Linked DNA regions of Saccharomyces cerevisiae S288C. Changing the gene in region 1 together with any one later gene gives a genetic interaction. Each region holds a gene or a part of one and is shown on either strand. Other genes may lie near its edges.

Evidence for each region. Genes that interact genetically often act in the same process or in processes that back each other up.
Region 2: mutations in TPP1 (region 1) and APN2 impair growth when combined (synthetic growth defect), as found in Saccharomyces cerevisiae (3 studies listed by BioGRID).

Annotation. Positions count from the first base shown.
Region 1 is NC_001145.3:568,507-572,865, forward strand, and holds TPP1 (polynucleotide 3'-phosphatase), read right to left. Parts: upstream 2,511-4,359; coding exon 1,794-2,510; downstream 1-1,793. Other genes in the region: YMR155W (uncharacterized protein), read left to right, coding at 45-1,688; AIM36 (Aim36p), read right to left, coding at 2,771-3,538; mitochondrial 37S ribosomal protein uS8m MRPS8, read left to right, coding at 3,742-4,209. UniProt on the Saccharomyces cerevisiae protein: Dephosphorylate DNA's 3'-phosphate termini. Has a role in the repair of breaks in single-stranded DNA.
Region 2 is NC_001134.8:182,353-189,962, forward strand, and holds APN2 (DNA-(apurinic or apyrimidinic site) lyase APN2), read left to right. Parts: upstream 1-2,000; coding exon 2,001-3,563; downstream 3,564-7,610. Other genes in the region: RFT1 (glycolipid translocation protein), read left to right, coding at 49-1,773; POP8 (ribonuclease P), read right to left, coding at 3,646-4,000, 4,076-4,122; PEP1 (type I sorting receptor), read right to left, coding at 4,492-7,610. UniProt on the Saccharomyces cerevisiae protein: DNA repair enzyme that cleaves apurinic/apyrimidinic (AP) sites and removes 3'-blocking groups present at single strand breaks of damaged DNA.

The DNA of each region.
Region 1 (4,359 bases):
TCAAAGATACTCGATAAACAGCAACCAATGTTTCACAGAGTGCCATGGTAAAGAAACACCAAAATAGTAAAATGGGTAATACAAATCACTTTGGACATCTCAAAAGTTTTGTGGGAGGTAACGTGGTTGCCCTTGGTGCTGGAACACCTTATCTTTTCTCATTTTATGCTCCTCAGCTACTGAGCAAGTGCCACATACCTGTTTCTGCCTCAAGTAAGCTATCCTTCTCTTTAACAATAGGAAGCTCACTGATGGGAATTTTAGCAGGAATAGTTGTCGATCGAAGTCCTAAACTGTCCTGTCTAATTGGTTCAATGTGTGTTTTCATCGCGTATTTGATTTTGAATTTATGCTATAAGCACGAATGGTCTAGTACTTTTCTCATATCGTTAAGTTTGGTACTCATTGGATATGGTTCTGTCTCAGGTTTTTACGCTTCTGTGAAATGTGCAAATACAAATTTTCCTCAACACAGGGGTACAGCTGGGGCATTTCCTGTGTCCCTATACGGTTTATCGGGCATGGTGTTCTCATATCTTTGCTCAAAGCTTTTTGGTGAGAACATCGAGCATGTCTTCATTTTCTTGATGGTTGCGTGTGGTTGCATGATTTTAGTAGGCTATTTCTCATTAGATATATTCTCTAATGCAGAAGGAGATGATGCTAGCATTAAGGAATGGGAGCTTCAAAAAAGCAGGGAAACAGACGATAATATAGTACCGTTATATGAGAACAGTAATGACTATATAGGTTCACCTGTGCGTTCATCATCCCCTGCTACCTATGAAACTTATGCATTGTCAGACAATTTTCAGGAAACGTCAGAATTTTTTGCACTTGAGGATAGACAGTTATCAAATCGACCATTGTTATCACCTTCTTCCCCACACACAAAGTATGATTTCGAGGATGAGAATACCAGCAAAAATACAGTGGGCGAGAATAGCGCACAGAAAAGTATGAGATTACATGTATTCCAAAGCTTAAAATCTTCAACATTTATTGGTTACTACATAGTATTGGGTATACTACAAGGCGTGGGTTTAATGTACATATATTCTGTGGGGTTTATGGTACAAGCCCAGGTTTCTACTCCACCCTTAAATCAATTACCAATTAATGCAGAAAAAATTCAATCATTACAAGTAACTCTCCTGTCTCTTCTTTCATTTTGCGGCAGATTATCATCTGGGCCTATATCAGATTTTTTGGTCAAGAAATTCAAAGCTCAAAGACTATGGAATATTGTCATAGCATCGCTTTTGGTATTTCTTGCATCGAATAAAATATCCCATGACTTCAGCAGCATTGAAGATCCTTCTTTAAGAGCCTCCAAATCATTCAAGAATATTTCGGTATGCTCAGCGATCTTCGGTTATTCTTTTGGCGTTCTATTTGGTACTTTCCCCTCCATAGTAGCAGATAGATTTGGCACAAATGGGTATAGTACGCTGTGGGGTGTTTTAACGACTGGTGGTGTATTTTCAGTGAGTGTTTTTACCGATATATTAGGTAGAGATTTCAAGGCAAATACAGGAGATGATGATGGGAACTGTAAAAAGGGAGTGCTTTGCTACAGCTATACTTTTATGGTTACGAAATATTGTGCCGCTTTTAATCTTTTGTTCGTTTTGGGGATAATTGGATATACGTACTATCGAAGAAGAGCAACTGCAAATTCCCTGTAGACGGTGTCATCCTGACATTGCTTTCATATTCTTTTTCACCATCACAAATGAACATTTTAAGAAATATTACTATATACTGGTATATATTCAACATTTTACAACGGACTACCCGTGAAATATTTCCTCAGGGTACTTGAATTCAACGTGCAAGTTTTCAGCAAACTTTATGTCAGAATCACTGAAGTCCTTTTTCCTCCCAGCAGCGTCACCGCAATAATATATCCAATTCAACTTGATGGGAGAAATTTGTTCTGAAACCCTGTATGCACTTTCCAGGTCCCTTTTAAAAAACTCTACCATTCCTGTCATTGGTTTTCGAACTTTTTCGAATATGTTAGGATCATTGTTATAACTTTCACCTAAGCTTGCGAATGTGATCTTACTATGATTTGCTGCAAAAGTTTTCGGCCTTTTAGGTGCTGCATATAGCCATAACCTGTGTGATAACGTTTCTCCTCTCTCATCGTTTTTGATTGCCTTTAAAAATAGCAAAATTTTATTAGTGTACTTGGTGCAACTTTTAGAAGTTCTTGGGACGGTGATGACACCACCTTGGTTAGAAAATATGACTATGACGGCCGTGGGATCATTATCAATGATATTACACAGGTAATCCAGGGTGGATTTCTTGGAGTTAAAATTAATAAACTGCCAATCACTTGCGCTTCTACTAAAACTTATATTGGGGGACTTTGGTTTGATAATTGTATGGTCCAGATCAAAGGCATAAACGTTTAGACCATGCTCGTCGTGATCAATGGATTGTGGAAACTTGGGCGTGAACTTAATCAGAAATGGCAGGATTGTTAATTTGTGGGACATGGGCTTTCCTTCGGTTCAGTTTTCTATGTTATCCATCTGATTTTGGGATGATTTTACAGATTAAAATCGATTTAAAGCCATACGCAAAAGAGGGGAAACGAAAGAAACGCACAGAATTCATTCACATAGATGAAGGGAACAGAAAATGAGAATGTTATATGACAGATAAGCAGCATATTCAGGACATATATCCAGATATATATACATATAAGCTATTAACAAGGAGAAGAAACCAAAAAAAAAAAAAAAAGAAAACATCCTCAGATGATATCAGCTTTACCTACAGTTTCGTAATATTTACAGACGTCAGAGCCACTCAATTTCCTCGGAACAAAGATTTTAGACACTATAGAAACCTCATTTTCAAATCTTGTTGCATCAGCAATCGAATGAGGAAAGTTCACAACTACTAGCTTGTCACCGGTCTTGAAGTTCTCTTTGAAATATCTACCCAAAAGCATGACCAACATACCGGTCGGCAAATTGTAAGCGTACGTGTCACACCCGTATTTTTTGTAGTATTCATTTAATAAAGCCTCATATCTATCATCCCTCAAGGTTCTGTAGTAATCGATGACCTTGACTGGATCGACAAACTGCAGCTCATTTATATCATCGCCTTGTGATTTCTGCAGTACCTTTCTAGTTTCTTCAATGCTGGGTGATAAGGAAAACTTTATATCGACCTCACCTTGTGGGAAGATAGCCACACGTCTTTTCAACCCTTTAACCACATTTTCGAATTCTTCTTCTGATAATGTTGTCTTCGGTTTGTTCTTATCTAAAGACTGTACTGTCTTGACAAATATCACTGTACCGATAATAGCAACAAGGAAAATTTTCTTAAATCCTGGAGCATCTATTTTATCTGATTTGTTAGACCTTTTAGTTGAGCTATCAGTTGATGAGTATCGTGCTCTCAAGAGCAATGGTGAAAATAAGGGTAATTGCTTTTGAGGCAACCCACCGCACACCTTGAAACAATGTCGGCAGCTTGCTAGAACGCTTTTTCTCAGTGGTCGCAACATGTAGGTAGTCTATTTATCTGGGCTCGTTATGTATTAATCTTCCTATGGGGATTCATTCATTTTAGCTTTACCGGCAGTCCTTACAAACCGCTTTTTGAAATTAAATCGACAAACTGAGGAAGAAGAACGGAAAAACAGAAGAAAGCCAAAGGCAAAGAAGCGACCACATACACCTTTTTTTCGATCTAAACTAATCGCCCAAAATGTCGTTGGTCAAACTTGCGAATACGTGTGCTCATTTACAGAACTGCTCGAAAGTTAGAGTTGCCTTAACATCGATCCCATATACGAAATTGCAGCTACAGTTTGCGTATAACCTTTACCAACAAGGGTTCTTATCGTCTTTACAGAAGGGATCGACTATGGGACCAGACAAAGATTTTGTTGAAGTAACACCAGACAATATCTCTACTAGAAGGCTTTGGGTTGGATTGAAGTATAGAGATAACAAACCTGTCCTCAGCAGCTGCAAATTAATTTCCAAACCAAATTCAAGAATACACCTGCCAATGGAAGACATGAAGAAACTATGCTCTGGCGTAACTATTAGAAACATCAAACCACTACAACCAGGAGAACTGATTCTAGTTCGAGCTCATAACAACATTATGGACATTAATGAAGCCATATCCAAAAAGTTGGATGGAGAAGTACTATGCAGAGTAAAATGAATAGAACAATCACATATGACCGTATTTATACGTGTAATTAAAAAATATACGGACCATGTAAATAATAATATTATAAAATGCAGACAATGATGATGAGTATAGTACTACAGTAACGTCCTTCATTCATTACCTTTACTAGCAGTGATAAAA
Region 2 (7,610 bases), on another chromosome or scaffold:
GGGTGATTTGAAGTTGATTCTGCTTTTGTCAGTGAAGGAAAAGAAAAAATGGCGAAAAAAAACTCACAATTGCCCTCTACTAGTGAGCAGATCTTGGAAAGGTCCACAACAGGAGCTACCTTCCTCATGATGGGCCAACTTTTCACCAAACTGGTAACGTTCATACTAAATAATTTGTTGATCAGGTTTCTGTCGCCCAGAATTTTCGGTATCACGGCCTTTCTAGAATTTATACAGGGCACAGTGTTATTTTTTAGCAGAGATGCGATTCGTCTGTCGACGTTGAGAATCTCAGACTCCGGTAATGGAATAATCGATGATGACGACGAGGAGGAGTACCAGGAAACTCATTACAAGTCTAAAGTTTTGCAAACCGCAGTCAATTTTGCTTACATTCCGTTTTGGATCGGGTTTCCACTGTCCATTGGTCTTATCGCCTGGCAGTACAGAAACATCAACGCGTATTTCATCACTCTTCCATTCTTCAGGTGGTCGATTTTTCTTATCTGGCTGAGTATCATCGTGGAGCTGTTAAGCGAGCCATTCTTCATCGTCAACCAGTTTATGTTGAACTATGCCGCAAGGTCAAGATTTGAAAGCATCGCGGTGACTACAGGATGTATTGTCAATTTTATAGTTGTTTATGCCGTTCAGCAATCCCGCTACCCAATGGGGGTTGTCACATCGGACATTGACAAAGAAGGCATCGCCATATTGGCATTTGCCTTGGGAAAGTTAGCACATTCGATCACCCTGCTAGCATGTTACTACTGGGACTATCTCAAGAATTTCAAACCAAAGAAATTGTTCAGTACCAGGCTAACGAAGATAAAAACGCGTGAAAATAACGAATTGAAGAAAGGCTACCCAAAGAGCACATCTTATTTTTTCCAAAACGACATTTTACAGCACTTCAAAAAAGTTTATTTTCAACTATGTTTTAAGCATTTGTTGACAGAGGGTGATAAGTTGATTATCAATTCTTTATGTACTGTGGAAGAACAAGGCATTTACGCTCTATTGTCGAACTATGGATCGCTACTAACAAGATTATTATTTGCGCCGATCGAAGAATCTCTGCGGTTATTTTTGGCCCGTTTATTATCCTCGCATAACCCTAAAAATTTAAAACTATCTATTGAAGTCCTGGTGAATTTAACAAGGTTTTACATATACTTATCGTTAATGATCATTGTATTTGGGCCTGCCAATTCATCCTTTTTATTGCAGTTCTTGATTGGCTCGAAATGGTCCACTACTTCCGTTTTGGACACTATAAGAGTCTACTGCTTTTACATCCCATTTTTATCGCTTAATGGTATTTTTGAAGCTTTTTTCCAGAGTGTAGCCACTGGTGACCAAATTTTGAAACATTCATATTTTATGATGGCCTTTTCTGGTATTTTCCTGCTCAATTCCTGGCTTCTTATTGAAAAACTCAAACTATCAATCGAAGGCTTGATATTGAGTAACATCATTAACATGGTGTTGAGAATATTGTATTGTGGAGTTTTCTTGAATAAATTTCATAGGGAACTGTTTACAGATTCCTCTTTTTTCTTCAATTTTAAGGATTTCAAAACAGTTATTATTGCTGGCTCAACGATCTGTCTACTTGACTGGTGGTTTATTGGGTACGTTAAAAATTTACAACAATTTGTTGTTAACGTATTATTCGCAATGGGATTGTTAGCGTTAATTTTGGTCAAGGAGCGCCAAACCATACAATCTTTTATTAACAAGAGGGCGGTTTCCAATTCTAAAGATGTATAAACAAAAATTCTTATATAACTTAGGCGACACATAATATGCGCTTAAATAACATATAGTGAGTATATTATCAAAAAGCATTCATTTTTTTTTATTTATTAGTCCTTCAGAAAGTTAGTTTGTATGTACTATATGATGTGAAAGTGCTGAAAAATTACCCAATAAAAGATAGGCAACCAAGAGAGAAGCTATTTCACCGTAAAGAAAATCCCTTTCCTTGTCAGGACACTATGTCATCAAGCGAAAACACGTTACTGGATGGAAAGTCAGAGAACACAATACGATTTTTAACTTTCAATGTCAATGGTATAAGAACCTTTTTTCATTATCAACCATTTTCTCAAATGAATCAATCCCTTAGATCTGTTTTCGACTTTTTTCGAGCAGACATAATAACATTCCAAGAGCTCAAGACGGAAAAATTGTCTATCTCTAAGTGGGGGAGAGTTGATGGTTTTTATTCTTTTATTTCTATCCCTCAAACCAGAAAGGGATATTCTGGCGTTGGCTGCTGGATTAGAATTCCGGAAAAGAACCACCCACTATACCATGCATTACAAGTCGTTAAGGCAGAAGAAGGTATAACGGGTTACTTGACAATAAAAAATGGTAAGCATTCAGCAATCTCCTATAGAAACGACGTAAATCAAGGAATTGGTGGTTACGATTCTTTAGATCCCGATTTAGATGAGAAAAGTGCACTGGAACTAGATTCAGAAGGCAGATGTGTTATGGTTGAACTGGCATGTGGAATAGTTATTATCAGTGTATATTGTCCCGCAAATTCGAACTCATCGGAGGAGGGTGAGATGTTTAGATTAAGGTTCTTGAAAGTTTTATTAAGAAGAGTTCGGAATTTGGACAAAATTGGGAAGAAGATTGTGCTAATGGGCGACGTAAATGTTTGCCGGGATCTTATAGACAGTGCCGATACATTAGAACAATTCTCAATTCCAATAACAGATCCCATGGGTGGAACAAAGTTAGAAGCACAATATAGGGATAAAGCAATCCAATTTATTATCAATCCGGACACGCCACATCGGAGGATATTTAATCAAATATTGGCTGATTCACTTTTACCAGACGCGAGTAAAAGGGGGATACTGATAGACACTACGAGGCTAATTCAAACAAGAAATCGACTTAAAATGTATACAGTCTGGAATATGTTAAAAAATTTAAGACCTTCGAATTATGGCTCACGGATAGATTTTATCCTAGTGTCCTTAAAGCTTGAACGATGCATAAAAGCAGCTGACATTCTTCCGGATATATTGGGCTCTGACCATTGTCCTGTGTATTCTGATTTAGATATACTGGACGACAGAATTGAACCTGGTACGACACAAGTTCCCATACCAAAATTCGAAGCAAGGTACAAATATAATTTAAGAAACCATAATGTTTTAGAGATGTTTGCCAAAAAGGATACGAATAAAGAATCTAATAAACAAAAATATTGTGTATCAAAAGTCATGAATACCAAAAAAAACAGCAACATCAAAAACAAATCGCTCGACTCATTTTTCCAGAAGGTAAATGGAGAAAAAGATGACAGGATTAAAGAATCCTCTGAAATTCCACAGCAAGCTAAAAAAAGAATCTCCACGCCAAAGTTGAATTTCAAGGATGTCTTTGGAAAGCCTCCCCTGTGCAGGCATGGGGAGGAATCCATGCTGAAAACATCGAAAACTTCGGCCAATCCAGGTAGAAAGTTCTGGATTTGCAAGAGATCTCGGGGTGATTCAAATAATACAGAATCATCTTGTGGGTTTTTTCAGTGGGTTTAAATATGAAAACGTCAGCTGATATTTTGGGAGAATAAAACACTTTCTTCTATGCCCAAGTTTTTTTAAATAATAAACTGATATTCTATATACATTTACAGTCTTGTTCTTCTTCTTCCATTACTTTTTTCAGCCATAGGCGGTCATCGTCAGTAACCTCCAGAAGTCTCAAACTGGAAGATTCTTGTAGAATTGACACTGTTAATGGTGAACCGACGAGTTCATCAGTAGATATGTATGTACTGATGGACGAAGAAAATGTATCTTTATCCGCATGATTTACTCTGATGTAAGCCAGCTTATCGTCAACATGCAGGAATGAATATTCTACACCTTCACCAAAAATACCATAACTACGTTTCAATGCGTTATTTAACCATTGCCTCCATGTCATTTGATCAATAGCATGTGCATCGTCCACATCTTGATCGAATGAAGTACTATAAATATTAAAGTACGTTAGTAGTTTATTTCTCTTCGGTAGTTGAGACTCAAAAAGTCAAAAATATACATACATTGATAACTTGAAATATTGCCATTCTCTAAAAGTCTTTTTCCCCATCACAACTGGCCATTTATCAAACTATTTATCTGCCTTTTCTTATTCTGATTATCCTATAAAGCTGAACAGTAAAGCTTGTAAAATTACGCGATGACTTATGTATTGAAGTTATGACGTTCTCGATGATCTTCAGTCAAACAACCACTTTCCCGTAACATATGATATATCCCACCCGCTTCCTTGTACGCATTATTACGGTTCTGCTTTGAAGATGGAGATTCAGTACTTGCAGTTATTTGAATTGCACCAGTACTGATCATGCCAAGTTTCTTTGGCTTGTGAAAGAACTTGATATTCTGTCTAAAGGATCTGCTCGTTTTTGTTTATGAAAAGTATATGGAATTATCTACTCTATGTAAAGTAATCTCTCTACTGGTTTTCGTTAGATGGCGCTGTAGAATCAGGCCTGTCGATGTTTTCCTCATTTCCTTCTGGTAATGTATCTGGAACATCGGTGGTCGTAGGTTGATCTGTATATGATGTATGCTCTTCTTCAAGTGTTGGAACATCATCTTCTTCGATTTCAAAATTACTACCCTGATCCATGAAACTGGATAAGTCATTGGCGTCTTCATCGTGGCCAGCAAGCAGGTCATCTGCTTCATCCAAAAATTGATCATGGATCAGGGATGAGTAGCTTGGACCTGTTCTGTTTCCAAACCTTCCTCTAATTTTGGAGATAGCATGCGCTATATTAGTTTTTGTGTGCTGTAAAAGAGACCCGATATTTGAGAAAACGTAAAATCCTGATTTCACAATGTTATTGACAACTCTGTCAGTATTATTGTTTTCTATTAAACCATCGTCACCTAGCCTAATTTCTCCAAACCTTGCAAATCCCCCATTTCTTCTGATACCTCTGTCATATACAAACCATGCGGCAAAGAAAATTATTAAAAGAATTGAAATGAAAATAAATGCAAAGGGACCGGCACTTACTGAGTACTTTTCCTTGAATTCTTTTTCTTTTCCTGGGCAAGCATGTGGTGATGAGGGAGCATCCAATTTCAGGCCACCCTCACAGGTTGATAGAGGGATCTTTCTGTAGCCTGACGATTCAAAATATTCGATTAAATCTGGCTCTTTTTTACAAACGTCTGCAGCATTTGCTGGGCTTAGTCCTTTGACTAATTTACAAGTACCATCGTTAGCTTTGTAAAAGTTGTAATCACACTCGAAATCTTGTCTTGTACAAGAACAGTTTTTGATATTTCTTGAAAATTCAGAAAGTGGAATATTCCCAATAAAACAATTTTCATCGGTTTTACGTAAAAACTCGGTTTGGTGACCAAATAGGCAATTGCTTTTGGAACCCAGAGGAGAGTATTTATAATCTGCGCTTTCCTTACCAGTGATGTCGAAATCACATTGTCTTTCGAAGATGTTTCTAAAATCAATTGTGTACGTTCTAAATGAGCTGCCTCCAATATCTGCTGCCTCTCCAAACAGCAAAAATCTCAAAGCAGAATCCCTGGGAACAGTGGTTATATCCTTTACTAAAACCTTATCAGCGCAGAATTTATAATCTTTCCATGTTTTACCAAAATCGGTAGAATAGGAAATAGAATCAGTTTCTGAGTTTTCAGGAACTAAAACTAAAATCCCACCGTGGTCACCGTATTCCCATTGGTGAGGAGTCTTCTTAACTTCAGCCCACGTTTCGCCACCATCGGTGGTGAAGAAGGTGGAACATTCTTTATATGGTAAAAGGTTAGGACCAACGTTGCCAACGCCGAACATCATTCCTAATGCAGAACCGGAAGAATATGTATCTCTAATATCCTTACGTTCAGTATAGCCATGTAAGTGCAATGAACACTCATCCAGTGATTTGGAGCTGCAAGAAAACTTTTTTCCTTCTGAATCCCTCTTCGGAGGTTTCAAAAAGTTCCAATCTGAACCTTCATTAAAGGTGATCTTCGTCTTCAATTGTTTGTCTTCTTTATTCTCGGCGACCTTGTCACTATTTGAAACGATGTTGGTGAGAATAATGCCTTCGAGACCTTGAATTTTTTCAAAGTCAACATAGCCGAATGTGTTTCTATTAACGGCATGCTCCAACGTGACAAAAGAAGTACCATTTGAGTTGGATTTCAAAAGATTGCCAAAATCGCGTCCTGGTACTAAGTTTGTTGCTAAATGTAAGAATATCGATCCTTTCTCAGACTCTAATATAGTGAATGCCTCTTGCTTCCCAACATCTTCATCATATGGGAATTTTGCCTCGGCAAACTCAGTACCATCGATAGTTACGTATGCTCTCAATTCGTTGTTCTCATGAGGAACAGCAACGATGATATAGCCACCAGTGGATAAGTAGCCGATAATATTTTCAAAGACGGTATTTTTATCATCCTGGAAAAAATCAGTAGAAGAAACTAAGCTTCTTGTCTGCGAAGACTTTTCCTTCACTTGACACATAACCATATCCTCATTTGACGGATATTTGAAAAGTGAGCCCGCAAACTCACAATGAATTGCATTATCAAGCATTTCCGTAAACGTTTCGCCCCCATCATTGGTCAGGTATGCTACCGCATGACATTCCGGACTTAAGATTGACTCACAATTCTTACCACCATAATAGATAAATGTATCCTGTGCCTTAGCGTTAAAGTCTAATGGCATACCTAACTGCCTAGCCTCGGGCAATTTAGCAGTCATAAAAGAGTATCCCCTATCATGGGTAGAGAAAATGCTACCTTTGGAACCAAACAGATAAGCTGAAGAATTGTAGTATGGATTAAACACAACTTCAATAATTGTTTCACCATTACTGTCGAACCTTTTTATTGTTTGTCCACCATCATGAGATATATAAGCTTCTCCTCTTGAATTGATCATGAGGAGGGATTCGTCGGTGACTGTGTCAAAGTATTGATAGAATTGAATCTTGAAATCAAATTTGTTTTCTGTAACCACTATTTCTTTATCATTCGTTCCCTTCTTTGGAACTCCCTCACACGAAATATCCACTGATTTGACTGTCATTGGTTTTTTACATTTATCACCTTTAACTAGTTGCAATGGTTTTACAGGCACAGTTTTTTTCTTTGTCTTATCACATACGTCAGAGAGAACGATTAGGTTGTAGTCTGGTACGCATTTCCCGGTCGCGTCCCTAACAAATTCAAACGCGCATTCGTAATCAGCCTCGGTACACTTGTCACAAGCAGTCTCAAATAATTGTAAGTCTTCAAAAACTTTCTTCACCAAGCACTGAGCGTCCTGTTTTCTTCTTCTGATCTTGTACTTGACTCCATTGACACACTTCCCCTCAGCTAAATTCCAATCCTCGAAATCATTTTCTTCGCATGTCTTATCATTAAAGGCTGTTGAAAAATCAATTGCATAGATGAAATTCGTTGTACCATCCATATGCGCCAAAGTAAACCCATTTAGAATAAATTTAGCTCCAGATCCGTCGGGCGTTGTATTCATTACTTCATTTGGGTAGATAGTAGTTTCTAGCTGATATTCGGTCCAAG